Linked DNA regions of Schizosaccharomyces pombe. The protein of the gene in region 2 interacts with the protein of the main gene of each other region in a pairwise test. Each region holds a gene or a part of one and is shown on either strand. Other genes may lie near its edges. The genes, in order: jnm1 and ssm4.

What was found.
Region 1: the proteins of ssm4 (region 2) and jnm1 interact in a two-hybrid assay, tested with the Schizosaccharomyces pombe proteins (one study listed by BioGRID).

The regions. Positions count from the first base shown.
Region 1 is NC_003421.2:1,449,523-1,464,862, reverse strand, and holds jnm1 (dynactin complex subunit dynamitin), read right to left. Parts: upstream 8,651-15,340; 5' UTR 8,428-8,650; coding exon 7,372-8,427; 3' UTR 7,008-7,371; downstream 1-7,007. Other genes in the region: translation initiation factor eIF2B alpha subunit Gcn3, read left to right, coding at 1-90; elongator complex subunit Elp4, read left to right, coding at 525-1,610; nucleoside diphosphatase Ynd1, read left to right, coding at 2,636-4,354; PPR-repeat protein ppr6, read right to left, coding at 5,671-7,002; gpi8 (pig-K), read left to right, coding at 8,905-10,047; cbl1 (cystathionine beta-lyase), read right to left, coding at 10,449-11,621; SPOM_SPCC61.05 (uncharacterized protein), read right to left, coding at 13,848-15,257. UniProt on the Schizosaccharomyces pombe protein: Required for correct meiotic chromosome segregation.
Region 2 is NC_003424.3:4,522,504-4,538,736, forward strand, and holds ssm4 (dynactin microtubule-binding subunit, p150-Glued Ssm4), read right to left. Parts: upstream 14,234-16,233; 5' UTR 14,184-14,233; coding exon 12,171-14,183; downstream 1-12,170. Other genes in the region: methyltransferase Mtl16, read right to left, coding at 1-116, 163-173, 252-327, 374-447; SPOM_SPAC27D7.09C (But2 family protein ), read right to left, coding at 885-2,036; SPOM_SPAC27D7.11C (But2 family protein ), read right to left, coding at 6,959-8,350; thioredoxin family protein But1, read right to left, coding at 11,014-11,745; RNA polymerase II-associated Paf1 complex subunit Tpr1, read right to left, coding at 14,632-16,233. UniProt on the Schizosaccharomyces pombe protein: Binds to nuclear microtubules with the effect of either modifying their structure or function. This then promotes meiotic nuclear division.

The DNA.
Region 1 (15,340 bases), on a different chromosome or scaffold from region 2:
CCCGAATTTGTCTCAGGTCTCATTACCGATTTAGGGATCATTGATTCGAAGAGTGGGGTAAGCGAAGAGCTAATTAAATTGTATCTTTAGCAATCAGATTCTCCTGATCTTAAAAATAAAATATGAATAGATTGTACTTTGAGTTGACTTAAATTTCTCATAAGTCTTGTCCAACTAGATTCGGATTGAAAGTAATCTTCAAAAATACAACAGTAATACATTTTCCGATCATGCTAATTGACTGTACGACGTAACATTTTCTATGTTATTTTGTAGTATTACAATATTATTTTTGTTTCAATGCGCCCACTAGTGAAATTTTATTATTAGTTCAACAAAATTTATCTAAAAGGTATTTTTATTGAATGATTAACTTTAGTCAACAATTTTTTATTTTCTCAATCGCAACGCTGAATTTCTTTGTTTTCTGACTGATGATGCTTAAATGTGTGCTGCAAATTTGCGTCGCGTTAACCTTTCCATCCAATTTGCTATTCCACGTACACCAATCGAAATAAGTATTGATGTCGTTCAAAAGGAAAGCAGCACCTCAAATAGCACCAACAAACTTGCCGACAGGCGTTAGACTATCTTCAAAGGATGCTAGATGGATTACAAGCTCTGGGAGTTCTTCTTTTGACTACTATTTGTCTGGCGGCATTCCAATGAAAAGTTTGCTGGTTATAGAGGAAGATTCGATGGATTATGCTTCTGTGCTACTTAAATTTTTTGCAGCGGAAGGCCTTAAACAGGACCATGTTATTTGGCTTGGTCCATCTATTGGAGAGATGTGGTTTCGTCAACTTCCAGGCGACAGCGACCGGCCTAATAAAAACGAAAATTCAGCTGGAGAGGATAATCATTCTTCTCCTCCCTCTAAAAATCCCCAGCAAGAAAGAATGAAAATTGCCTGGAGGTATGAACAAGTCTCCAAAACCAAGGCACCGACCCTTGATATGATTCCTCCTGGCTATACTCACTCCTTTGATTTGTCAAAGAATTTGATAGTGAAAAGCGATATGAAATACGCTGTTTCTCCATTCCCTTTGGAAACAGGGTCTAATCCTTACGCCCCTGTCATTGAAAGTCTAACGAGATTCTTATCTACTCTGACTCCAGGTACGGTATGCAGGTTAGTTCTTCCATCCATTTTGTCCCCAGCCTTCTATTCTATCCGTGCTACTCATCCGCAGCATTTCATAAGATTTATTCACACACTTTCATCGCTCATCAAATGCACTACTTCGGTGCACTTGATATGTATGTGTTCAGTTCCTTCTACTTTGTTTTCAAGAGATTGCGAGCAAATTTTTTGGCTAGAAAACCTTGCATCCGCCGTATTCTCTTTGCATCCTTTCCCGGTCAAAGAAACTGTTAACGGTTTAGTTACACAACCATTAGGACTTTTCCGTATCCATAAGCTTCCCTTAGCACTTCCATTTACCAATCATGCAAACTCTAATGAAGCTGGAGACCTCTCATTTACTGTATCGAAAAGAAGATTTACCATTGAACCATGGGTCCTTCCTCCACTGGATGATGAGCAAAAGGATACGAAGATTTCAAACACGAATCCTCAAAAACAGCCTGTTAAATCTTTGGATTTTTAGACAATTAAAAAACCTCTAAGTTTCTGAGTATTGAATTGGATTAAAATTCTACTCGTTTTCGTGTTATGTGATATGGTTATGGTTTGTAAATGGATTTTATAATTTTTTTTGGATGCATTGCATTTGTGTTATTTATTGTTCATACGAGTTTAAATATTTTTCATTTCTCCCGTCTAGATAACTGATCAATTATCTAAATGTTCGTCAAATGGGATAAACGTTCTCTCAATCAAAACTTTAAAACACAAGTTAATATAGAATGCGAACTGAAAGCCGTCAAATATCTCTACGAAGAACCGTTACTGTGATCTTAAAGCAAAGTGCATGAAATACTTGTAAGTAAATGACATTTTAAATCTTAAACAGTGTTAAACCGTTGAAATTTGAAGGATACAATTATTTTCTCTATTAAAACAGTTCTGAAGTAAATTGTTGATGATTGTTATCAAAACATTGTCAATCTGTTGGTACTAACAGTATTTGACATCTAAGCAAATTAAAGAGACAAATCAAAAAGTTTTCGCGTATTCGATTTTTCTCTTTAATTCTAGTCGCATTATCTTTTAAGTCAAGTGACCAAAATTAATGTGATTATTCCAATAGTCCGTATGAATGGGTCCTTAAATTCGTCTCAATTTACTTTTTTTGCATTTTGACAGAGTTCACTATATAGTGATTTACCACCTAAAAATGTGCTACCTATACATTCGCTAGTTGTTAAACATTGAGTTGAATGTTCATAATCCACTACAAACGTTCATTCAATGTTTCAATTAAGTTAAATAGAGGTTCATTGATAAGACAGATACATATATTTAACTGAATTTTATTGATGTATATCTTGGGAACATATGCCATATTGAAATTGTTCACATCGCCATAGTGCGCTTTCAACCATCAACAAACAAAAGGCAAATTGGGCTGGTTTGATGAAAATATCCATCTTCAGAGTCGAAGTTATTTAATATCCAGTCTTATAGACAAAGAGACATTTTGTTAAGAAAAATAAGTGCAGGTGGCTAAAAATGGTTCGAAAGTATGGAATTTTCATCGACGCTGGATCTAGTGGTTCAAGACTTCTAATTTATTCTTGGGACTATGATACCGATTCCTCTTTAAGTGATAAAGTAAAAAAATTACCATTAATCGAGACAGGGATTGGGGATGGTGGTAAATGGTCTTTAAAGGTTCAACCTGGAATTTCTTCCTTTGCCAATAACCCTAAGCATGTAGGGAAGAAGCATTTGAAAGAACTCCTGGATTTTGCTGCTCATGCTATTCCCAAAGATGTACATAAAGAAACTCCGGTTTTCCTAAGTGCTACAGCTGGTATGCGTTTACTGGGCGTTGATGCCCAAAACAAAATACTTTCGCATGCTTGTAGATATATTAAAAAGAATTACGATTTCGACATACCTAATTGCTCAAATTCAATCCGTGTAATTGATGGCAAAGCTGAAGGTATGTATGGTTGGCTAGCTACGAACTATCTCCTTAAGACACTTGAAGAAAAAGATACGTCAACGGTTGGTTTTTTAGATATGGGCGGTGCGAGTGTGCAAATTGCTTTTGAACTTCCCCCATCTCAGCTCAAAAATTACAAGGATAGTATTTCGACCGTTCACATAGGACTACAAAATGGTCAGCAATTGGAATATCCTTTGTTTGTTACTACCTGGCTCGGTTTTGGCGCTAATGAAGCTTACCGCAGGTATTTGGGACTGTTAATAGAAAGCGAAAACGGAAAAGTTGGCAACACTTTAAGCGATCCGTGTTCCTTGCGTGGACGAACTTATGATATCGATGGGATCGAATTTGCCGGTACTGGAGATTTGAAACAATGCTTGAAACTGACTTACAATCTATTAAATAAAGACAAGCCATGCTCCATGGACCCTTGTAACTTTGATGGAATATCTATTCCTCCTGTTGATTTTGCAAATACTGAATTTGTTGGGGTCTCGGAATTTTGGTATACGACTAATGATGTGTTTGATATGGGCGGTAGCTATCATTTCCCTAATTTTTACAAAAAAGTTGACGAGTATTGTGGTACAGAGTGGGAAACCATGCTTTCCCGTCTTTATAATAAAGAGCTGACTCCAAGTACTGATGAAAACAAGCTTGAAAAGCTTTGTTTTAAAGCATCATGGGCGTTGAATGTCCTTCATGAAGGATTCGACGTTCCCAAGTCAAATACAAGTAGTAATGATGCAAAGGATGGGCTCTCGGTAATTCCTGCGTACCATTCTCCATTCACGAGTTTAGAAAAAATAGAACGCACCGAAGTGAGCTGGACCTTAGGCCAAGTATTGCTTTATGCATCAAATCAGCAACTTCTAGCAAAACCGGAATATGCTAATTATTATATGGACCCATACGGAAAGCTAATCGCATCCCCTTCAAAACATTGGATGAGGTTATTTCCTAATAAATTGTTCTTTATTCTTTCATTTATTTTCTGCTTATTCTTTCTGTTCTCTTTGGTTTTGTTCGGGTATGATCCGAAAAGGCGCCAACGTTTCAAAAAATTCCTTCTGCGCTTGCAACGTCGCAAGGCTCCGTACATTATGTCTGCAAATGGAAGTTATGAGGATATAGCAGATTTTTCTGATGATTTAGAAATGAGCAGTCCCTCTAAGTGGCATGGACCCCCGATACGTACCACTTCAAGCCATGTTCTCGCAGACAGACTTTCGTTTACTGCTAGTCGAGAGAGAACGCCTAGATCCCCTTTTCCTTAATATTCTTTACCCGTAATTTTAGGGATGGACAGCTTTCTGCTGCACTTATATGTTTCTTTTAGCTTTTTTGTCATTTTTTCGTTCGTTCTTAAAGAGAAAGCTGTGAATTTCAGTTGCTTCTCTATTTCACTTTCAGTACTTCTTTCATTCATAATACACCTAATTAACCAAACCATATTAATCACTCGTCTCAACATTATGTAGGCGTGCCAGTCCTTTGTTTACTCGTATGAATATTTTTATCAAGTCAGCAAAAACTCCTAAATGTCCATTTTACACTTGCGATATTTGAGTCATATCTCTTCTAACCGCTTGTGGCAGTTAGCATAATAATCATCATCGATTTTATTAAATTTGAGATAAAGCATATAGTTGAATTGGGTAAACTAAATATAGCAACCCCTAAGGTAAAACATGTTTGATGTATGGAAAATTACATATGTTAGTTATTTTAAATTTTAAACCATTACAATCAAGACCTCTTTTCAACCTTTGTTAATATGATAAAAAAGAGCAATCTGTATCTTAATATATCGAACTCAAACAAATGAAGCTATATTAAATAATATCAAAGTGAAGCAACTTTTATGATTCATCCTATGCATTGAATATAACTAATCTGCCTAATTCGAACATTCTAAATCTGCAAGATAAATAATTTTGAAAGTAGAATCTCCATAAATTTTCTTAAAAAACTAGCATTTGAAGTGTAGCTTATTTGAACAAAAAAGACCCAAGTCTTTGTTAGTTCACGAAAGAGCATTTTAATGCGTCGGTAGGCAATTAAATAGTGTTAAGAGTCTTAAAAAATCATGACGACCTTAATAGTCTTTACAAATTTATTGATTTAGCTTGAAAATTAGAGCCCTCAAGCATCAGTAGTTATGTACTCAGAAATTGTGATGCACAACAAGACATTGAATCTTTAGTTTTTTAAGATGCTAGCAAAAAAATTTTACTTAAATTTTTTTTAAGTAACTTAACAAGTACAACAATTCTGGAGTTCTTTGATTACTAAAAAGGGCACATTAATTAATATCGATATAATATTTGTCAAAGGATAACATATTATTCGTCATAACAAAAAACCAGAACTTTTAACATCAACATTCCCTAACTTGCGATTAGAACCAATTTTCGATAGTCCTCTAAAACCTTTAAAGAAAATGCATGCCTAGACACTTTTAGACTTACTAAATGACATTAGACACCGTTATTTACGGATTTGCTCAAATTCCAGAAGCAGAGAAATAAATATAAGAAAAAAGAAGGGATAAATTTTTAATAAGGAATGTACAGTGTGAATGGATAGATCATCAAGGTTTAGCAGGATCTCCTACGGATGAATGAATTTGGTTCAACACGTTTGACCACTTAACCGAAACTCGTTTAGTATCATGAGGTCGTTCAGTTTCTGCATATCTCATCAATTTCGATATTTGCTTTTCGAGAAGTTGTAAATGTTTTTTCTTGACTTCGTTGTTTTGCTTTTCCAATGATCCTAGAAATTGTTTAGTCCAACTCTCACAGACTTTTTCTAGCAACCCGAATCGCCCATGCTTCATATAAAATTTAATTGATGTATCGTATATCTCAATTATTGGAACACAATGCCTATACATTTGAGAGTACAAACGAATGAAAAGCTCAATATTTTTTATTCGTGCATGACCAGCTGGAGCTCTAAATTGTAAAGATGCAATGGACCAATATATTATGTAGCGCCAGGCTAACTCAGGAAAATTAATTTTATAAACAGAAGTAAGCTTCCTTGACAGAGATACTGCACTTGAGACATCACCTAAATATCCTAATGCAGAAATGATTGAAAATACTGTATGATGTGTAGGAAATGTAACGTTTCCACAGTCAACTTTTTTACTAGATGAATTTTCGTTTATCCCCCAAACGGTATCTATAAGATCGTAAATCTCTCGAATCTTTCCATCTCGAGATAAACCCACCATCAGATAATCATATGTAGTAGAATTAGGTACCAAATCGTAATTTGGAAAATCGACTTCAATCATATCAAGCATTTTACCAGAGACAGGTTCCGTTACCGGTGATCCTCTAAAAGCAGGACTCTGGAATTTAGAAAGCGACCATCTGTTTCCCCCAATTACACCGAGAATTGCATTAAAGTAATCGACACTTGGGCGGATTCTTTTCTCCTTTACTCTTGCTACTATATATTCAAGTATATGCTTGTTCCCAGTATACATTGCAACCCGTAAAATATGGGTATAGTCAACAATGTTAAATTGAATTCCCAAACGATCAGCATCTTGAAGGATTAGCTTAATTTGTAAAGAAACTAAATCACGATCACGATGTCGGATGTTTTTTCCATTTTTGGGACAAACAACGGACCGTAATATTGATTGAAAATCCGAAGTTCTGAGTTGGTCAAACTCTTTTTTTGAACGTGCTTTAGAATATTCAATAAACAAGGAGGATAATTTTCCATAAGAAGATACCCGTAATAAGTTAGACGCGATGGGAGATGCCGAAGGTATAAATTTCTGTGAATCACTTATATCGTACAGTAGTTCCTTAAGTATGTCGGTATGGGAATATCGTTTTTGTAGAATTAACTTAAATGTACATTTTCTTATATTATTTGGTAAGGAACCCAAAATTCGCATCCTGCTACATGAAAGCGAACCGAATGGTAATTTCTGGTGGTCGGTAGAACGCAACTAGCTACTTCAAATAAATCTATGACAATTCTGTATTTGAACAAGAAGCAAAGGTTAGTGAAAAGTATATTGCTTTTTGTGAAGTAATTAGGTTTCAATATTCCTGAAATAAATGTAATTATTTGCATACTCGATGAAACGCATATAGTAACAAAAACAGAAATTGTACGAAGCTTCTGATACTATCGCAAATAAATTTTTCTTTGATATAGGAAATTAGGAAATTTTTGTTTACTCTCATTCCTTAACGTTCAAGACTTACGTCCAAAAACTTCAGAACAAAGAAATGCAGCGTAAAAATTCAATAGCACTATCCTATTGCAATTTTAAAACGCGTTTTTCAAGCTGTGTGACAGTGTCAGATAATCTCCTCATCTCTTCTACGCTTTGTGTGTAAAATTTTGAATGATCAAGGCGTTCAACTGTATTTTTCCATTCGTTCAACTCAGACTGCATAGTCATCATTACATCTTTTGAACCCTGCCAACTGCTAATTGCTTCAGCCGCATCGGTGTGCATATTCTGTAAAGACTTTAGCCGTTCTAACAACAATGGTAATATGGGCATATACTGTTCAACGAAGGGAAGTTGGGAAGAACAAATCTCTAACATGATAACAATATCTTCTTCCGTACACAATTCCTTTAACGAAGAGTTTTTTAAAGTCGTTTGTTTCTCTATTGAACAAAGATTTCTTTCATGGTGTTTCAAAAAATCTTTAGCAAGTAATTGCTTCCATGATTCAATTCGGGATTGCCAAAATTGAGGATCCTGCTCAACAATTTCAAGTTTTTCCATACATTTGTTTAAAAGCTCGCTAAGCGGTTCATCAGCATACCCTATTTTTGATTCTAGTTTGAATATCCGTTTGTCAAGGCTATCCAAATCGAACGGATATGAGAGAGTTGGTGACTTCAAGGACTCAGAAGTTTTACTGTTAAGATTTTTTTCCGTTTCCAGGGTATCTTGCAAAGTGTCATCTGAAAATTGTTCAAGTCTCTTTTCCATAGTATCATCATTACCACTAATGGCAGTGTCACTGATAGTTTCTGACTTTGACCCTTCACTGTTTATGTGTTTATCCCACAATCTATCCAACATTTCCCCTAATTGAGTAAGTTCCTTCTGTTCTTCGTACATCATCGACTGCTCCCATAATTCTTCAAGTTCGCTGCGAATTTTCATTAGTTTCTCTTTCCAACATTTTTTTTCAGTTTGATCGGAAGATTTCCTGAGTCTTAGTCGACCAATTGTTCTCATCGGTACATAGCAATGTTGCTCTTTAAGTTTACTCAAGCATTCTTCTACAGAGAATTGTTTTGTAACGATGCTGGGTTCAGAGGAGCTGTCTAGATTAATCATTTCTTTCATCTTTTTTAATTACTATCAGTAAACGAAATTGCTTAAAGGCGTATCTCAGATCATATGCTTACACGTTTGATATTTTTCGGGAGTAATCGATGGTTTAGGGGTTTTATTTGGTTTCAGTTCCTTAAATAATAGGTGTTTTCTTATAGAATAAATTTCTTGATGTTTTATAGTGAGCACTATTACTTCGATAAAATACAGTTCTAGTCGCAAGCAAGTGCAGGTTAGCAAGGGAGCACCATAGTAGGTAAGCGAGTAAGCACAACAAAGTCGAACTTTACATCTGCATATACCAATAAAAGGGCTTGATAATTTTTTTTTGAATTATTTGCAGGAATCGTTTACTGAATTAACGTGTAAAAACTTTACATGCTAATATCGTGCTCAAACATTACGCTTTGTCACAAAGTTGTATAAACGTGATACTACTAAACGGCTTTATGTTTATTTAATTTCAACAACTGAAGAGTAGCATTCTTAATGATTGTTCAGTTTGTGGCACTTTTGCTGCTCAATTTGCTGCAAATAATAGCTGCAGAAAGTTCGCATACAAATAATTGGGCCGTCTTAATTTCTACCTCGCGTTTTTGGTTCAACTACAGACATACTGCGAATGTTTTAGGAATATACAGATCAGTCAAGCGTCTTGGAATCCCAGACAGTCAAATTATATTGATGATAGCTGACGACTACGCTTGCAACTCTCGAAATTTGTTTCCAGGAACAGTTTTTGATAATGCAGATAGAGCATTAGATTTGTATGGAGAAGAAATTGAAATTGATTATAAGGGCTATGAAGTTACTGTTGAAGCGTTTATCAGATTGTTGACAGAGAGAGTCCCTGAAAATACACCAGCCAGCAAACGATTATTGACAAACGAAAGATCTAATATCCTAATTTATATGACAGGTCATGGAGGCGATGGTTTTATTAAATTTCAAGATGCTGAAGAATTGAGTTCTGAGGACCTTGCTGATGCAATTGAGCAAATACATCAACACAAGAGATACAATGAAATCCTATTTATGGTAGATACATGCCAGGCAAATTCTTTGTATACAAAAATCTATTCGCCAAACGTCTTGGCAATTGGTAGCAGTGAAGTGGGAACTTCTTCTTATTCCCATCATGCTGATATCGATATTGGAGTTGCAGTGATCGATCGCTTCACCTTTTCTAATTTGGAATTCTTAGAAAATAGGGTTGATAGTAAAAGCAAATTGACTATGCAGGATTTGATCAACTCCTATAATCCGTATGAAATTCATTCTACACCTGGTGTCCAACCCATCAACTTACGAAGAAGCCCGGATGACATTTTAATAACGGACTTCTTTGGAAACGTTCGTGACATTGAATTGCACAGTGAAAAAATAAATTGGATGTTGCCCGGTGAAAACACTACCAAACCATCAATAAAAAGAAATAGTTTCGTATTTCAGGCACAAAATGACATGCAGGATGACGGTAAAGGTTTTGGTATTTCAAATCTAAAGAGTTTTCTTCCACCAACCAGAGAACTTAAATACAAAAAACATCCTATTTCTCGAATTATCTCCGCTGTTGTGTGTATTTCCTTCTCTATTGGTTTTCCGTACTATGCCAGTAAGTACCTGAAATAGGCGTTTCAAACAGGGTTTCTCACGTTTTTTATGACATTCATTAACACATTAATTTATCTTCTATTTCAAAGTACATTTCAAACGTTTGGATTGGTTTCTTTGTAGACTTGGATCATCCCTAGTAATTCGAGGACTAATGTTACTCAAAATGCTTTTGCTTCATCTTAGGAAGCGTAGGCTAATGCCAATTACTAATTATAATTTATATACGGTCAATATCTCAATAATATTTTCCATTAAAATTTACACATATGTAAGTAGGGATGAAGCGATGTTTTTAAGCAAAACTTCGATCATTTTAATATTTGATGATTTAAAATTCTATATGCACCACAACTAGTAACTTAAGCAACCCTTTCTCCAGCTTAGTTGTGAATACCACTATGCCTTCATAGACGAAATCAATTCTGTTTAAAATTTGCTTGAGCAAGGGCATTTTCGAGGTCAGCCTTGAGATCATCGACGTTTTCGATGCCGACACAGATGCGAATCAAATCTTCACTCAATCCCCGAGCGTCTCGAACCTCCTTCTTGATAGAAGCATGACTCATATAAGCGGGCATACTGATCAAAGAGTTAACAGCACCAAACGAAACCGATATTTCAAAGAGCTTAGTAGTGTTTACAATAGTTTTAGAGACTTCAACGTCGCCAGTAAAAACAGACATTACAGCACCTGGTCCACGTGCAAAGGAGTAAAAGATTGCGGTTGACTTAGCGTCAGGGTCTAATCCAGGGAAGTTGACCTGAAGTCCCTTGCTCTTTAAGAATTTGGCAATTTCTATTGCATTCTGCTGTGCACGTTCAACACGCAATCCCATCGTTTTAATACCGCGCAACAGAAGGAAACATTCGAAGGGAGCCATAGCAGCACCCATTGCGTTGATGTTAAAAAACACAGATTTAGCAATCTCATCGCTTTTTGTGGCAATGACACCACCCATTAAATCGTGATGACCTGAGAGATACTTTGTGGCCGACTCGTAAACTATATCATAACCAAAGTCCAAAGGGTTACAAAGGACAGGAGAAAGCATAGTATTGTCCATTACCAATAAGGCATCCTTGGCTTTTGAACGAGTTATTTTAACAATAGCCCGAATATCACAAATGCTGATACGGGGATTAGTAGGACTTTCAATCAAAACCAAGTTTGTGTCTGGGCGCAAAGCTGCCTCAAAGGCTGCCAAGTCAGAAGTATCAACGTTATCCACTTTAAATCCATATTGCCTTTGGTTAAAAGAGAGTAAGCGATCAGAGCCACCATATAGATCGTGGCCAGCAACGACATGGCTATTAGACTTGCAGCAGCGTAAAATCATGTCTAAAGCGGACATACCATTGCTAGTTACAAAAGCATGTTTCGCCTTCATAAGTTTAGCCAAGTGCACTTGAAGAACAGAGCGAGTAGGATTACCGGAACGAGTGTAATCAAATTTGCCCATATGCTCTAAGCATGGCTGTTTAAAGGTAGCTGATTGATAAATTGGGACTGAAGACGCATGATACTGGTCTTCATTGCCTTCAACATGTACCAATTCGGTATCGACAGAATATTTACAATCGCTGGGCATAGTGATGGTCATGGAAGATAAAATTTAGGAAGATAAAATAGGCAATATGAGAGTATAGTAGATACAGATATGAAGCGAAGAACAAATCTTTTCTTCTTAATAAGAAACAGTGATACCAAAATTCAATAAAAGGTGTACAAAAACAGATGTTGCAAAATTAAATTTTTAGGACGAGTATTAAGACCTAGAAATTGGCAAACAAACTAACAATGATTATCAGGCAGTAGATGGTCATTTATGTACTTTTTGAAGCTTCCTAATTGTAAAAAATGTTTGATAATCGCTACAATAAACAGATAACATTAGACGAGCGAGAACGACCAATATCCCTGACCCCTTTTGCGATTTTTATGCTGCCGATTATATGCTCGATTTTACTGATGGAAACGTATACGAATCGATAGACAAATGTAATATAGCGTTTTTCCTCTGTTTAGTCAGATGAGGCTAGCAAAATAACTTTTATAGCTAACCACTGGGTACTGAACGAGTAAACGATGTAAACATTTGAAAAATTCAGCTAATAACACAAACGTCTACTGCAATATGGCAATATGTTTAGGTAACGCCAACAACTAAGTTACCAGTAAGTTTGATAACACATCAATATAGTGAGAAAGACAAACATACGATAACGAACAGTTGTCACATCTAGCCCGTTTGATGAAATATTAGCAAGAAATACGACTTCTCGACTAACCCTTGAGAACCCCTTTAAACATGAAATTCCACAAACTTCCGCACATTTCACGACACATACCGCCTATCTTTAATGCGAACTGTACATCATCTAATAAACAACTCACAATAATAGGCGATCCATCCACTCGAATCGCTATTGATGCAAACTACAATTGCCGTCGAAAGGTCAAAACTGCTTCGGGATACTATCGTCAGTAGTACCCAATATCTACAAGACTCCACTACCCTTCATCGATGAGCTGTACAGAATCATACGAACCACAAGCAAAATACAGGGGTGACATAGAGCTAATCATAAGCAAAGATTTAAAGCTTTAACATCTTGAACGACATCTGTATCATCTAATAAACATATTCTCCTTGCAAGTTTCAGAACTAGTGATACTCAAAACAGTTAACATCCTATACAGTGTTCCGATTTCCTGTACGTGGTTTAAACGTTTAATCATTCCCCTAGACGCCCCTTTTTGAATTTACTTCCCACACAATATTGGATACCTACGTCCACAATCATCGTGCCATATCATCTCCGTACATTCACATGACTATAGTTTGCTCACAAACACATTAATTTCATCAAATTTAAAAATGCGTGTCTGAATGTAGTAAGAGAACACAAGGTTTACGTATTAGATCTTCTTTTTTTAGGGGTTTAAAGAATATTTCATATGTTTGAGCATTTACTGCTTATTTGGCTTAAGGAAGTCTTAGTTTAAACGGAATGAAACAGCTACGTTTTCAGACATACATACGAACTTCCATTCCAACTTCCGTTTTGGTAAAAGGTAGAGAGAAACAAATACATGCCAGAAACTATTCAACAGTTCAACCCGATTGCGTGATTGGTATACTGATATATAGGGTATTCCATAATAACACAGAGTGCATGCAATTATCTTTACTGTCGTTTAGTGTTCTATCGCTATTTAACAAACTTAACTTTTCTCATTACTAAATCGATAAATGGTATGTGCATTAGAAACATTGTCGCTTCTTGCTGATGCTCATGGTTAAAATTATGTAACATTTCAAGTGATACTATTTGAAATGGATGCAGGATATCAAGAGAAGCTTGTTTAATTATTTAGCAAAGTGTCAATATATTCAAAATCATCATCAAAAAAGGCATAAAGTAGAAAAAATGTAGCAAAAATCATCAAGGAGGTAGTTGTACGAATTCAATATAGCTGAATCGTATTTATATGTATAGAAAATGGGATTGTGTTAGCAAAAAATATAAAGGATGGAAGTATTTGTAAAGTTATAATAGCATGAAAGAGTATATAGTGTAAAAAATCTGGATAAAGATATAGTAATTGAAAAAAGCAATTTAAAAAGACAAGTATTAAAATCAAGAAATGGCGTCTCATGGGAATGTGCAATTAAGAAAATCAAGAAAATGTAAGAACTGTCACCACAAAAGTAAAATAAAAAATATTAAGTAACCATTTTTCAAGGATTAAATTTTCGCACACAGCTACCGTTTTCTCGACCTAATATAAAACTGATTATCAAAAAGCTTTTTTACACTTTACGATCGGGCGCTGGTTCAAGGTTAAGGGATTCCATCGATTCCAGTGCATACCATTCAAAGGGGATCGGCTGATATTTTAGGAAGACAAATTTTGAGCAATCAAAGAGAAAAGCAAAAACCAAGAAGTCAACAAACGTGATGCAGGAAGTTATCAGTTGGAAGCCAAGTGAAAGTTGACTGCCAAGTAAGGGACGAACAACTCCCAAAAATAGGCAATTACTTACGGTCACAGCAGCTAATGCAATATAGCAAGTCCTCAAAAGAGAGTACTTGGCCTCAAATCCAAGTTTCCTTGATTCACCAGCCTGCTTGTACAGTCGGTAAACTGCAAAGAATGGCAATCCATAGTAAACAAAAGTATAGATATTCCAAATTAGCTTGAGGAGGATTCCTCGAACCCCATAAAAGGACATCACGGGATAGGAGAGGGGTGCAAACGTGACAAACAAACCTTGAACGAAGGCTACAAAGGCTAGGTAAACATAGTACTTCACTAAAGCAGGCTTCGTGATTCCCAAGCCAAAACACAATACCAATAAAAATGATGTATATGCAGATTGTTCCAATCCTTCTTCAAAGACGAGTGAGAATAAAAAGGAAACTACGTACCATGTTGAAAAGGAACCCCTTCCGATGGCAACCATTGAGTACACCTGATATGAATGGGTAAACACAAAGATAAAAACCCAAAATGCAAGGGAAATTTGAGCAGGTTGAACCCCGGACTGACTTTTAATACAACGCAACAACCATGTTAGTGTAATGAATCCTAAAAACATCGATATCGCTAATAAGGTGGATTTTATGGTACGAAAATAAGACTCCGGAGGAGGTGCATCCCCATAAAATTCGACTGTCAAAACAGGCCAAGGAATACGAATTGGCTCAGTTTCTTGAATTCCGATAAAACAATACAATGCAGTTTCATCAATGGGTATATTAACTGATGGAGAGATTTCGGGGACTAGAGACTCACTGAGAAAATCCTCGAATAAGTTTATTGATTTAATCTCATCAAGAATCTCTGTATTTTTTCCATCGATAAATCCACGATAAGTTTCTAACGGTGTTTGGAGTTTAAGCAGTCTGTAAATAAAAGGATGTTCGGCATCCTCTTTCAGTTGCGCTTTGACAAAAGAACCTTTTTCTTCTTTGTTTTCTTTCGCAAATATGAGGTCGCAGTAAATGACAGATTGTTTCCAGCTTTCTCCATCTCTGTACTCCAACGGGGTCACAATTAATTTATCAAAGTGGTAGGCACCAGTAGAATCTTTATAGTAATCCTTATTGCCGGTGTCATCCTTCACATCCAAAGGCGCGTCCACGGCTTCTTCAGAAGAATCTCCGGACACAAACCATGGTAAAATAAGAGTGATGAGCAAAACAAAGTTTATTCGCATATTGTAACGATTTACCAGAAGTGCTCAATTAAGTATATTTTCTTTTTAAATTTTGAGAAACGAACGAATCTTTTGGCTTAAAT
Region 2 (16,233 bases):
ATAATGGGTATATACAACTAGCGCCGGTACCAATATCCAAACCAATGATTCTTTTTTTATCCTTTTGCCCAGATGTACTTGACAACAGGTCATGAATATATCTTATATAAGTGGCTCTGAAAAGTTGGTTATAAATGATGAATAAACAATGTGTTAATATACCGGTTTGGAACCTTTAAATGAATTAGCATTTATGAGAGAAGGGAAATGTTTGTTTAAAAGAAACATTGGTGATGCTACACATCTCTTACCATTGGACATAGACGATTCTCAGGAAATTCAACACGAAGAGAATAATCCCGATCCAGAATTGCTTTTCCTAACGTACTAATTTATAGGTAAGCAATCGTTTAACATATGTGAGTTTACCAACCGAATAGCATCTTCGTTCCAAAAATCAATGCGACCATTTTTGACGCTACGTTCAATTAGTATATAAATTGGCATTGAGAACGCCCTACAAAGATCTCAAGTCGGGATAATCCCTTGCTAAACTATCGAAATTTATAATATCAGTTTTATCAGTCATATTTTTGAGTACGTAAATTTTTTTTGCTATATCGCCTTTATCGGCGGTTGCTTGGTTAAAAAACGCAAATTTGCTCGTACAAATAACGCTTTCGAATGCCGTATAATTAGTGGTAATATATAGAAAAATATTAAAGGTACATTAGGTGAGCAAAAATAAATACAGCATACACTGAGTCTACTTAGGTAAATGGTACAACATAATCGGTGGCCCTTGAATAGATTTTTCCATTTAACAATAGCGTCTACCCAAAGATTACTGGAAATTATTACTCATAAAGGAAAGAAAAGTAATGAATTTAAATGCTAATGAAGTTAAACTAGATAATGCTTCTTGATTTCTCAATAAGTTAAATTTAAACTCGTAAAGTTAATCCCTCAAGAGGATCGGCTTCTTCGAAGAAACTCAAATAAGAGTCATCAGTGAGAGCCATCATTTCATAAGAAACCGCGGTGTATGAGTTGGGGCATGTAACGTTGGTAGCATAATCGCAACCAGAGCTAGAGCAGTTGAAACGTCCAATTTCGGCAATGCGGTTTGGACGGTTGGAGTAAACAGTAGAATCGTTGGCGACGGAGGAGAGGTTGAAAAGAATGAATTGACCAACACCATTGCTGCCTTCAACAGTGATTGGGAAACCGCTAGTATCGAGATGTAGGTTGAGTTCGCAACTGCCGGAAACTTGAGGAACATCAAATGTGAAAATCGTGTTGGTATGATTGTTTTGCTTCTGAAAGACGACTGGAGAGTAAACATTACCGGAGTTGGAACTGGGGTTAGCAGAATCGATCAAACGAATTCCATGTGGGAAAAGAGGGTAAACAGCTGAGGAAGCTGCTGCGGATGCAGCTTTTGCCGTGGCAGTAGCCGATGCTGTAACAGGAACAACAACACATTTGGTGGTGTAAGCAATTGCCCCACTAGAAGTGCTTGCTTTAGCAGACGATGAAACGCGAGTTGAAGTTGAAGTAGCAGCTGAACTAGAAGAAGAAGAAGAAGAGGATGGAGACACGAAGGCCTCAATAGCAATACCTGCACAATTGGGGTTACCATTTCCGGCTCCGAAGTATACTTGGTAGACCTGATCATTATCACTAGCAGGACAAGCTACCGCAGATTGGGTTCCATTATATAGAAGATTGTATCCAACATTAGTAGCATCACCAGCACTGAACTTAGTGGAAGCTGCATTAGCATCAGATTTGAAAATAGTGGTGCCATTGCTGTCAACCGAAGCGTAAAGATTTCCGACAACCAGTCTTCCGTTACTCATAGAAAAGACAGCACTAGTACTGGTACCATCAGTAGGATCCAGGTAAATAGCGCCAGAGTCTCCTACATAGAAAGGGTGCAAGTGGACATAACTGTTGCCAGAATGAATAGACATTAGGCCAAATTGCTTGTTGTTCAAAGGGTCATCACGCTTATGCAACGGTGAAGCTAATGTGCCCGAGGCAGCGAGCAAAGAGAGCAATGTGGAAGCAATGGGGATTGAAGTAAGCTTCATAACGTAAGTTAAACAAAAATGCAAGAAAGTCAAAGCAAATGAATGTTTTTTTTTTTAATTGAAACTTTTAATAATAACTAAAAAATTGGAGGAATTTCTAGATATTGCAATAAGATTGATCAAACTGAAGAAGATTAATCACTTATTGTCAACCAAAGTAAGAATTCCTTTTTTCGTATCAGATATTTCTTTAAGTGTTACCAACAATTATTTGCCAAGCATCGTGCTTATATTTATAATAATGAACATTATTCTAGAATTTTAGTTCGATAAAATTTAAGAATATTCTATGAAAAAAACCCGGTTCAAATAATCCGCTTTACACGGCGCTTCCGAATGGCAGTAATTATGTAATAAACATGTGCAGTTTTTCATATCGGCAAAATTGCAGTACGCTACTTATTGCTTTACTTAGCAAATCAATATATGTCATACAATTCCAAGGGTATTTACGGAAAAATATTAATCATAACTTCTATTGATACAATTAACCGTATGTTTATGATTAGAAACCCAGTCAAGTGAATTTTCCCAAATTGGTATTCAGCCTAGCTATTCTGGTACAGTTGCTGAAACCTTTTTAAAATAATACTCTACGTAATATTCACTAAATCCCTGCATACAACATTATAAGAAACCACTTCCGGTAGTTTATCGAGAACTAACGGTAAATTGCGGTAATATTGATAATACTGCACTACTCTATGTTATCCCATATTGCGGTCAATTTACTGAGCTGCGTTATGTGTTCCTATATGGCTTCTTGCAACTTGATGTAGGGGTATGCGGTATGTTTAAATAACAGTGTTATATTCATTGTTTTAATGAGTCTACTAGAAGCAGTCACAGATATAGCTAGCTAGTAAGTGAAACTGAGGAACGAGATTCAGTTGTAGCTCTATTTATAATCTTTCTAATAGCAGCTATGAATGTGAAATTTATGTGGATAGATGAATAAATAGCTACAATTATTAATAAACGGATCTTAACTAATGTTCTAATATATAACTAACTGTAGTTCAATGTGTCGTTAAATAAATACTAAACTGCGTAGCTAACAACTACGTACTACTAATGACATATGGTAAATATTAATTAGATCCCCGAACCGGTAATTGCAGATTATCAAAATTCTATGTGCATTGAAAAATCGTTAACAAAATTACTAGGTAAGTTGTAAATAGAACTGAGAACTATGACTAAATTTGAAGTATGAAGCTCAGTTATAAGTTATTTTAGTGATAGGTAACAATTTAACTTATATATTAGAATACATATAGCAAGCTACTCCCTCATTTATTTGCTTATTGTAATATTATGAATCGGCAAAGAAAACTCTTACTGCATTTCTCAAATCCTTAAAAAAGGCAGCAAACGGTAGGTTAGAGATGAGTTTTTTTTGAAATTTACTCATGTATAGCAAGCGATATGTAAAATGTACGAGTAACAGATACTATCATTATTGTTACATTATGTCTCTACTTATAACTGCCTCATGCCGGAACTGACATACAAGAAAAGTTTGAGCTCTACTTACAGTAGTTCTGTCTAATATCTAATTAAACGGGTATTTTAGTAATAGAAACAGGTCTTCCGTTATTATCGATAAGCGGATCTCAACTAGTATTTTAACATATAAAATTAGTGATTTGCAACACAGCGTAAAGTTGCTGACATATTAGAGTTGTAGCATTTCTAATTTTAAGGCATTATATCAATCATAAAACAAGCATCGCTAAAGTCTCGCCTACAATACAACCTGTCTATCAAATACTAGACTCTGCTATGCCGGAAACAAGCACAAGAAAAAAATGGAGAGACAAGGGTTTAAAGATTTAATATTAATTAAGTAAACTAAACAATGCAAGCTGGAGTTCATAATACTTTAAACTCGTAAAGTTAATCCCTCAAGAGGATCGGCTTCTTCAAAGAAACTCAAATAAGAGTCATCAGTGAGAGCCATCATTTCATAAGAGACCGCAGTATAAGAGTCGGGGCATGTAACATTGGTAGCATAATCGCAACCAGAGCTAGAGCAGTTGAAACGTCCAATTTCGGCAATGCGGTTGGGACGGTTGGAGTAGACAGTAGAATCGTTGGCAACGGAGGAGAGGTTGAAGAGAATGAATCGGCCAGTGCCATTAACACCTTCAACAGTGATGGGGAAACCGCTAGTATCGAGATGTAGGTTGAGTTCGCAACTGCCGGAAACTTGAGGAACATCAAATGTGAAAATCGTGTTGGTATGATTGTTTTGCTTCTGAAAGACGACTGGAGAGTAAACATTACCGGAGTTGGAACTGGGGTTAGCAGAATCGATCAAACGAATTCCATGTGGGAAAAGAGGGTAAACAGCTGAGGAAGCTGCTGCGGATGCAGCTTTTGCCGTGGCAGTAGCCGATGCTGTAACAGGAACAACAACACATTTGGTGGTGTAAGCAATTGCCCCACTAGAAGTGCTTGCTTTAGCAGACGATGAAACGCGAGTTGAAGTTGAAGTAGCAGCTGAACTAGAAGAAGAAGAAGAAGAGGATGGAGACACGAAGGCCTCAATAGCAATACCTGCACAATTGGGGTTACCATTTCCGGCTCCGAAGTATACTTGGTAGACCTGATCATTATCACTAGCAGGACAAGCTACCGCAGATTGGGTTCCATTATATAGAAGATTGTATCCAACATTAGTAGCATCACCAGCACTGAACTTAGTGGAAGCTGCATTAGCATCAGATTTGAAAATAGTGGTGCCATTGCTGTCAACCGAAGCGTAAAGATTTCCGACAACCAGTCTTCCGTTACTCATAGAAAAGACAGCACTAGTACTGGTACCATCAGTAGGATCCAGGTAAATAGCGCCAGAGTCTCCTACATAGAAAGGGTGCAAGTGGACATAACTGTTGCCAGAATGAATAGACATTAGGCCAAATTGCTTGTTGTTCAAAGGGTCATCACGCTTATGCAACGGTGAAGCTAATGTGCCCGAGGCAGCGAGCAAAGAGAGCAATGTGGAAGCAATGGGGATTGAAGTAAGCTTCATAACGTAAGTTAAACAAAAATGCAAGAAAGTCAAAGCAAATGAATGTTTTTTTTTTTAATTGAAACTTTTAATAATAACTAAAAAATTGGAGGAATTTCTAGATATTGCAATAAGATTGATCAAACTGAAGAAGATTAATCACTTATTGTCAACCAAAGTAAGAATTCCTTTTTTCGTATCAGATATTTCTTTAAGTGTTACCAACAATTATTTGCCAAGCATCGTGCTTATATTTATAATAATGAACATTATTCTAGAATTTTAGTTCGATAAAATTTAAGAATATTCTATGAAAAAAACCCGGTTCAAATAATCCGCTTTACACGGCGCTTCCGAATGGCAGTAATTATGTAATAAACATGTGCAGTTTTTCATATCGGCAAAATTGCAGTACGCTACTTATTGCTTTACTTAGCAAATCAATATATGTCATACAATTCCAAGGGTATTTACGGAAAAATATTAATCATAACTTCTATTGATACAATTAACCGTATGTTTATGATTAGAAACCCAGTCAAGTGAATTTTCCCAAATTGGTATTCAGCCTAGCTATTCTGGTACAGTTGCTGAAACCTTTTTAAAATAATACTCTACGTAATATTCACTAAATCCCTGCATACAACATTATAAGAAACCACTTCCGGTAGTTTATCGAGAACTAACGGTAAATTGCGGTAATATTGATAATACTGCACTACTCTATGTTATCCCATATTGCGGTCAATTTACTGAGCTGCGTTATGTGTTCCTATATGGCTTCTTGCAACTTGATGTAGGGGTATGCGGTATGTTTAAATAACAGTGTTATATTCATTGTTTTAATGAGTCTACTAGAAGCAGTCACAGATATAGCTAGCTAGTAAGTGAAACTGAGGAACGAGATTCAGTTGTAGCTCTATTTATAATCTTTCTAATAGCAGCTATGAATGTGAAATTTATGTGGATAGATGAATAAATAGCTACAATTATTAATAAACGGATCTTAACTAATGTTCTAATATATAACTAACTGTAGTTCAATGTGTCGTTAAATAAATACTAAACTGCGTAGCTAACAACTACGTACTACTAATGACATATGGTAAATATTAATTAGATCCCCGAACCGGTAATTGCAGATTATCAAAATTCTATGTGCATTGAAAAATCGTTAACAAAATTACTAGGTAAGTTGTAAATAGAACTGAGAACTATGACTAAATTTGAAGTATGAAGCTCAGTTATAAGTTATTTTAGTGATAGGTAACAATTTAACTTATATATTAGAATACATATAGCAAGCTACTCCCTCATTTATTTGCTTATTGTAATATTATGAATCGGCAAAGAAAACTCTTACTGCATTTCTCAAATCCTTAAAAAAGGCAGCAAACGGTAGGTTAGAGATGAGTTTTTTTTGAAATTTACTCATGTATAGCAAGCGATATGTAAAATGTACGAGTAACAGATACTATCATTATTGTTACATTATGTCTCTACTTATAACTGCCTCATGCCGGAACTGACATACAAGAAAAGTTTGAGCTCTACTTACAGTAGTTCTGTCTAATATCTAATTAAACGGGTATTTTAGTAATAGAAACAGGTCTTCCGTTATTATCGATAAGCGGATCTCAACTAGTATTTTAACATATAAAATTAGTGATTTGCAACACAGCGTAAAGTTGCTGACATATTAGAGTTGTAGCATTTCTAATTTTAAGGCATTATATCAATCATAAAACAAGCATCGCTAAAGTCTCGCCTACAATACAACCTGTCTATCAAATACTAGACTCTGCTATGCCGGAAACAAGCACAAGAAAAAAATGGAGAGACAAGGGTTTAAAGATTTAATATTAATTAAGTAAACTAAACAATGCAAGCTGGAGTTCATAATACTTTAAACTCGTAAAGTTAATCCCTCAAGAGGATCGGCTTCTTCAAAGAAACTCAAATAAGAGTCATCAGTGAGAGCCATCATTTCATAAGAGACCGCAGTATAAGAGTCGGGGCATGTAACATTGGTAGCATAATCGCAACCAGAGCTAGAGCAGTTGAAACGTCCAATTTCGGCAATGCGGTTGGGACGGTTGGAGTAGACAGTAGAATCGTTGGCAACGGAGGAGAGGTTGAAGAGAATGAATCGGCCAGTGCCATTAACACCTTCAACAGTGATGGGGAAACCGCTAGTATCGAGATGGAAGTTAAGTTCGCAACTACCGGAAACTTGAGGAACATCAAATGTGAAAATCGTGTTGGTATGATTGTTTTGCTTCTGAAAGACGACGGGTGAGTAAACATTACCGGAGTTAGCTTCAGGCTTAGTCGAATCAATTAAACGAATGCCATGGGGGAACAAAGGATATACAGCAGCAGAAGGTGATGGAGTTGCAGCTTCACTTTGGCTAGCGGCAGTGGTGATAACAGGGACAACAATACACTTGGTGGTATAAGCAACGACGCTAGAAGCAGAAGGACTGGGTCCAACATATGTGGTAGTTTTAGTAGTAGTGGCAGTGTTTTTACGTTGGGTAGAAGTAACGGTAGAGGGCTGAGTGGATGTAACAGTGGAAGCTCCGGTGGAAGTGATAGTGGAGCCTCCGTTCGTGGCTGTTACTGTGTAGGTTTCAGTAGCCGTAACGGTGACAGCTGTGGTGGTCGTAACAGTGGTGGCTTCGGTAGATGTAACGGTAGAGGCCTTAGTGGAAGTGATAGTAGGAGGTGGAGTAGAGGTAGAATTATGATAGGAAGAGGTAGTACTATTATAAGTGGAAGATGAAGAGATGGGTTGAGGCAAAACAGCCAAAACAGCAATACCTACACAACTAGGGTTACCGTTTCCAACTCCAAAGAATACCTGATAAACCTGGTTATTGACGAGAGAAGGACAAGCAACGGCGGATTCAGTTCCATTATATTTTAAGCTATATCCGGAACTAATAGCCTCACCGACACTGAATCCAGAAGAAGTAGAATTAGTATCAGATTTGAAAACTATTTCACCATTGGCGCTCACGGAAGCATAGCGATTACCAACAGATAGTTGTCCATTAGACATAGTAAAGGTGGCAGCGTCATCAGTGCCATCAGCGGGGTCCAAGTAAACAGAACCAGAATCTCCAACATAAAATCCGTGCAAATGGACGTATTCATTGCCGGAGTGAAGAGCCAAAAGACCAAATTGTCTGCCGTTCAAAGGGTCATCGCGTCTACGCAATGGGGAAGCTGTCACACTGGAGGCAACGAGCAAAGAGAGTAATGTGGAAGCAATGGGAATCGAAGAAAACTTCATGGTGCGTGTAATAAAAATCCAAGATTTTCAATGAATAGATGCCAATTAATTAACTGTTTTTTATAAACCAAAAAGTCCTCGCAAAGATATGGAGGTTTTGTTAATATAATAATAATAATTATAATGAGAGATTAAAGGGAATTGATGAAGACTTATTTACTTTGTTTAGTAAGGCTTCGAAGATTATTACAAATGAATGCAATTAGATTTGTTGGCGATATTAAAAGGATTTTCATCTCTTTATATATCAAAAATTTTCCAAACTTAAGTTCGACAATATCAAGAATTTACTTCGGTAAAACGTAACTCATGATCCGCAGTCATGAAAACTTTTGTCATGTGTAGGGAAAAGCGCAGAAACAAAAATTGCATGTAGAATCATACACGGTAATTAAAATGAGGAGTAGTAATATATTTTTAAGGCGAGGTGAATGATTTACATAATAAATGGTCAGCGCATACAAGAAAGTCCGACTGTTGGCGATGCAGAGGTAATATTGGTCGCACTTCCACCATACAGACAGTACCCACGTTCCGTTTACATTTTAAAGGCGGTTTTTTAACGTGATCACTTTAAACGCTTATTAGAGGCTAGCGAACCGCACAAGATGTCATACAAGTACTTTTGCGTAAGCTTCATCGACATGTGAATAACTTTGAAAGCTAGCGCAATGTTTTCACAGTAGTGTGGGAAAACAGATTTGAACAGAGGGAAATTGAGAAATTTAACAACTAGGATTTTTTCCCGTACAACTTTTTCCTTAGCTTCTTAATTATCTAATGGATTAGTACGATGTTTCGTAAGGTAAATTGCATATACCGATGATTTAATCACCTTTCGGTCATCATAGTCGGAGTATTCGGAAAAATTCCTTCATTCCGTGTACGCTTGACACCGGCCGCAAAGACTCCGCACAAGACTCCGAAAACTCCGGATATCTGCTGCGCACCGGCATGTGATCATCGGTGTTATTGGGTGGGGTTGATGATGCATTTTCACCTTCAAATTAGAAAATCCTGATTTTCAATAATGAAATGCATCAACGCACGATAGATATGAATAAAGACTTTGTAGGGATTCTTTATTGTTAATACGGTAATCCAAGGTGAATGACTGTGTAAATTTAACGAGCTTGAACAAAAAACAAGGAAACTGAATTTGTTTTGAAAGAAATCCAAACAAAGGCTGGTATCATTCGAATCTCCCGTTGGTATTTAACTTAGAAAGCAAATGTTCAAAGAAATTTTTAAAACTAAATTAAAAATAGCTCCTCCTTCAATAATACGGCTTTCTCATGTTTCTCTAAACAGAAAACCCTTTGACCAGCTGTCTCCCGTTTGATTTAAAACGCGTCTCTCGTAGCAAAGGATGATGATTGTGTTTCTTTACTTACAATTGTGTATTTTCTTTCTTTCGTTTTCTTTTTACATGACTATATATAGTAAATTAACAATTGCTGTCTTGGAAGTTGATTCATGCTGTGATTAAGCCAAAATCGCTAGGTGGCTGTGCTTTATCCAAATACCGATGAAATCTAGTTTAGAGTAGCGAACCCCAAGCTGCTGCGCTGCAGCAGACGCACTACCTCGTTATTAATTGAACTGGTATGCTTCACTATTCCGTATATGTTCTGTTATGCTCGGTTGGGATGAAAAAACGAGGGCGTGAAAAAGCGCGCTTATAGCATTGACGTCAGAGCTATTTTATCCTTTACATTGATTTATCTACTAAGCATGGTTATTCTATTAAGCAATTCCTGATATAGTTTGATTTACTGACACTTTTGCAACTAAGATCTCAATTCACTAGCATGAAATTGTTTGAACGATTTCGATAAAAATATTATAAACCAACATCTAGAAGACTAATAGTTTCAATATTTTTATGCTTCAAATGTCCAAAATTAATTTTGGTAGGTTTACACAAGAATAAACCAACTGTAATTATATCATATAATTATATTTCTTAAATATATATAATTATAAAGATTAGTTTACAACGATCTCCTTTAGTATAGGGGTAGTACACAAGCCTGTCACGCTTGCAGCCCGGGTTCGAATCCCGGAGGGAGAGAATATTTGATTATTTTTAATTTTTGCATTTTTTTTATTACTCAAATTTTGATTACTTTTGTTTGAACAAAATAATACTATAGAAGCCTGCACTGTCATTTTTATTTGAATAGAGGAATTTAAACTAAAATCTATCAGCTTGGCTTTGTTCTGAAAAAGTAAATGCTTCAAAAAGAATATGCCAAATTATTTATTGACTGATTGAAATTGATATCGGTGATGTTTATAATTTGATAATCAGAGTTGACTTTTTTATTTATTTAATTTATTGGTTCATTGATTTTTTTTGTTAAAGATATCATAGTTTAATAAATTATTCCTTACACTTTTTTTTTTTTTTTTTTTGAAAAATTTAATAAATACCCATCCGTACCTTATCGTAAATTTTTGACAGCATAATTTATGGTACATTGTAATTTATTTTGTGAAATATTAAATATATATATATGTATTTATAGAAAGTATTTTCTATTCCATTGAACCCATGTTTTGTGGTTTTATGTGTGACAATATCATCAACTTTTGCTGAAACGTAAAAAAATTTTTGTTTGTCATTTTTTTTTTGAACGAGTGATCATCATAGAAGGCTTTTAAAGCAACCTTCCATTTTCAATTGCCAAAAATCGAACAGTTTCTTGAACTGCTGTTATTAAAGTAGATACACAAGTGGTAGTACGAATGGGAAGGATGTCGCGTCGACGCCCTATGGAATCTATAATTACAATTGCATCCAAAGCTAATTTTGCTCCTCCAAGAGGATGCAGCATTCCCATCTCTCTACAAATTTCATTGTTAGAATCCGAAATAACTGGTAATGAAAATTGTAGAGCACGAGGCAGATGGGCTTTCCATTGACATATATTTTCAACCGTATCAGTAGTGATACCAATCACATCTGTGTTGTAGGATTGCAGACATGGATAAAAGTGACTAATGACAGATATGTGAAGTGGGACGTTGTCAACATAACCATAATCACCGCTGACATTACCAAAGAAACAGAGAACAAATGAAGAGAATAGTATAGGTAATTTATGAATTTCATTTATTCCACCGATACCATTTACAACGTAAACGGGTTTGGAAAGATTAATGAAACATGGTTCAAATACTACTTCCATATCTTCTTCCCTAATGACACGTGCATGGTTCATTCCGTTCCTAAACGAACTCTTTATATGGGGATGCATACCACGCGTTTCTTCATCTTTCGTAGAGCTTCTTCTTTTTTTTGTAGATTTAACTCTTAAAGTACAATTTTTCTCGTGAACAGCATCACGAGTCGAAATGGGAAACTGGAAAAGGTTTTGGTCGATTTCCATTTTCTAACCCTTTCTCTGCAAGAAGGTGAAGAAACGCTTGATACGCTTTAATAGAAAAAAGGTAACAAAAAAAAATAATATCGCTACCGTGCAATGTGAAACAAGCAGTTTCCCACTCTTAAAGTGGTTGGTTTAGGGTAAGTAAACTTGTTTATTTACATGATTCTCACGTCGACAATTAATCTTCAAAGTCGATCTAATTGGCCAAAAGTACGTTAGTTTAATACAAACATGAACCAATCAAATACTCAACCCCATATTTCGTTAATGCATAACAGGTCACAAAAGAGGTTACAAGTCGATCTTAAACTTAAAGCAACACCATACAGTACATTAATGATAAATTCGTTAAAATATGGCAGTTAAGATTAGAAGCTAATTTTCGGCGGCTATTAATAAATTGAATTATATATCTCATTAAAAGATTAGCATTTTTTGGAAAGAATGTCTGTTAACTGACAATAATTAAATAGCTGTTGATTGTGATGAAAACTGGGTCGCTCGATATCTTTTTTCCAATTCAAGGCCAGCTGCTTTTCTACTGAAACGGGTTTAATATCTGCAACTAATTTTCTTATCTCCTTGCAGGCAAAGGTCAATGGGCTTGGAATTGAGTTTTCAGTATTAGAATCCCGTAAACTGTGTTTGAGCCAGTCTATATTTTCACTAGTATTGTCACCTTGTGGATATTTATCGGCCAGTTTCATCCTTGCGGTCTTTAGCTGTTCTCTTAAATTACAAAGATTTTTCTCATACTGTGTCTTTAATGTTTCAAATTCTTTCAATGTTCTAGAAGTGATTTCAGAGTTAACTTCATTCTCGTATGATTCAATTTGTTCTTTTAAACGTTGGTTCATTTCTGTAAGGTCGTCTTTCATACTACTTTCCTCCTCCACTTGTTTTGATAGTTTCAATTTTGCACTGTTTAACTCGTCTATTACAATATTTGCTTTCTCAAGTTTTGCATTTAATTGCAATAATTCCTCTTGAGAGTCTGATAAGCATAGTTTCAAATGTTTAACTTCTGTCAAAGCAGGTTGAGAAGATATTAGTAACTGAGATAGCCTTTGAGTTTCCTCTTGCACCTCATTTAACTTTTCCGATTGTCTTGCTTCTATTTCAGTGTTTAGCTGATTCAAAGTTTCCAAGTCTTGAATTTCTTCTGTTAGTTTTAATACTTTATGAGACAACAAAGCATTTTCCTCCAACAGTTGCCTTCTTGTCTTCACACCATCCACTGAAGAGTTGTTGGACTTTAAGTTTAATAATTCTTGATAAACTGTGCTATTCCAATGTACAAAATTTTCATTTGTTAATGAAAATTGTAAATCCAAACTTCCCGGTACAATATTTAAGTATCTATTCACGTTAGATATTGTCAATTTCTCAGAAAACGGGTTTTTAGGAATTTTTACAAGCTCAGTTATGTCGACCTGAACCTGTTTTAATTGCAAAACCTTAGAAACCTCTGAGACCCCAAGGAGACTAGATGGTGTAACTTGTGTAGTCCAGTTGTCCTGGCTTTTAGGAGTTTTGGAATTCAAACTTCGATCAGAGTACTTATAATTAGGAATCTTTCGAATTTGCAACTTTCGCTTTCTTAGATACTTTATTTCTTTCTGCATAGCCAAGAATTTTTTGAGAAACTTTTCACGCCTAAAATTCCGAGGTTTTTCAATACTGTTTTTACTGCGAAGGAATGTCAACTGAGGTTCAACTTTCTCTAATTCCTTATTTAATTTATCAATTTTTTCTTTTAAGGCGGTATTTTCACACATCAATTCATCCAAACGACCCTTCCTTAATTCTGACTTTAAATTCTCTTTTAAATAACTTCCCTTTGAATGAGGAGTAAATTTTTTTTCACATTCCTGCAAAACGTTGTCAACTTGCCATACAAATTCCTCTTCCATAAAACTACTATCGTCAAGCCCAGACAATTTGCTCGTATCTGAGTTTAACAAAGTAGTGTCAAAACTTGATAATTCTTCTGTTGAAAAATTTAGCTCATCTAGATTTTCAGTTGTAGATGAAGTATAAAACGTAGCTGTCTTTGTGGGAGTAGACGAATCAATAGGTGTAATGCACAATGGGCGTGCCAATGATCTTTCAAATTTTGAGGGCTCCCTACGTGATTTTTGTTTAATTGCTTTAGTTTTTTCCATAAAATTTGATATGTTTTCTGATCCTTTTTTCCTTGACTTGACGACACTTGGTCTTTTCATCACATTCGAAGAGCATGCGCGTACAAATATCCCTTTTCCTTTCTCACATGAAAAATATCGTTTCCCTTTTACGCTTCCATCATTTTTTCCTTTTCCATTTAACAATTCTACGCCTAACCAAATACCACTTTCAAAATCAGTACTACCGGCAAATCGAACTATTCCTAATTCTCCACGGATGAGGACTTCATCCCCGACGGACAAATAACTCATTTGAAAAAAAAGAAAGGCTCAGAAAGTACTTGATAAAATGGTTAGAAACTGTGAGATTAGTGTGGGGAGGGGGGAACAATGTTTGCAATACAGGCGCGCTAAAATCATCACTATGTTGCACAGTTGAGCATGTTAATCACCAATGTTCAAATCACTTTTAACACGCATGTTAATGTTATTTAAGTAGAATGAAACGATTCTTGGGTGAATAAACCTATTAGTTCTTTTTGAAAGGGTGGATAGAAAAAAACAAATCTAGTCTAAAAAGCGTAAATGAATGACAAGAGCTTTTGTATACAAAAAATTAATTTAAATGATATTATTACACGAGATCATAAATCATATATATGACAGACAACAAATAACTGAAGGGAGAAAGTTAATATGCCATTGAAATAAGAAAATTCTTATCTGAACGGCATAATTCAAACAGCAATGAGCATAATTATTATTCTTCATCCTCTTCAGAGAATAGATTTAACTCTTTATTGTCATCTTGATTGTCTGTGATATCGTTATCCTGCTTTTCTTCGATAGTACGAGAAACCTCCTCTTCTTGATTTCCCTCCGCGTCACTATCCTGGTCAAAAGTATACTCTTCGGATATGACTCTTCTATTAACACGACGTTTTTTAGTTTTATTTCTGGCATCGCTCAATGGTATTTCATCATCTTCGCTTACTCCGCTATCCGAGGATTCCTGTTTCGATTTAGATTTACGCTTTTTTCGATCTTTCTTTTTCTTCTTGCCTGACTGTTTTTCTTCGTCATCAGACAAGCTCATATCATCTTCAGAAGCCTTCTGCTGACTCTTTCTCCACTCCAAAACTTCTTCTTGCATCTTTTGTCGCTCTTCCTGAAGTTGCCTCTCACGTTCTTGCTTTTCCTTAAGTAAAGCTTCTTCCTCTGCCAATCTTCGAGCCTTCTCCTTTTCCCTTTGAATCCTAGCATCTTCAAGTTTGGCAGCAACACTCTTCTCATATTCGATTTGCGCTTGAATAGCGCGCTCCAATTGACGCTTAGTAGTATTTTTAGCCATCTTTGCACGTTGTTCAATACTGGTAGGAGAATAGGGTGGATGTTCGACAGACACCAGTTTGGTAAAAGTTTCAATCGATGCGTCAAGCTGTTGCATTGCAAAGTTCAGATCCTCAACAGTTCTACTGTTCTCGGGTTTCTGACGGATGAGCTCACATAGCTGGAATTGTACAAAGGCAACGTTAAATAAAAGGCTTGGATTCTCGGGATTTTTTTCTAAAGCTAATGTAGCATATCGCACGGATTCTTTTAAATAGTCGACGTTTTTGCTTTCGCGACCACGCTGTAGCCAAACTCGGCCTAAACAGCTCAATACACCATAAGTATCACTTTCTCCGGTACTAGAATACACGGTTTCAAATACCTCAATAGCACGACTGAACTGTTTGAGTTCTGCAAGGCAATTGCCAATGTTTATGAGTGTTGTAGCATCCTTAATTGCTTCACGAACCTTACTCAAAATAAGTAGAGCTTTAGAAAATTGCCTGTTTTGTGCTAATATAATGGCAATACCCTGGGCAGCGTGTGCGTTTTTTGGATCAAATTTAATAGCTTGATCATAAGACTGAATAGCTTTGATGTAAAGTTTTTGCCTTTTTAACTTTTCACGATCATTATGTACACGAAACTCTCTTGCCTGTCTCATATAGGCATTACCGAGTTGAACTAGGGAGTAAATGTCATCGTGCCAATGTCTAAGGGTCTGAGAGCAGTGTCTAACTTCAGGATCTTCTACTGGGCGACGCTTTTGTTTACTCAAATACCAACCAAAAAATGCTCGAACCTCTAAATTTTGAGAATCTGCGTTCATGATATGACGAATTTCTTTAAACGTTTCCTCGTTAGGATTGGATAACTGAAGTAAACATTTGCGAATACGGGCATCAATAAAAGATGGATGTTTTTCGAGAATCGAAACATACGCTTCACTAGCTACAGAAGTGTTACCCAATTCTTCTTCACAACGTGCAAGATTGTAATCCAAGAGCAAGCTTAATTCAGGATTGGCATC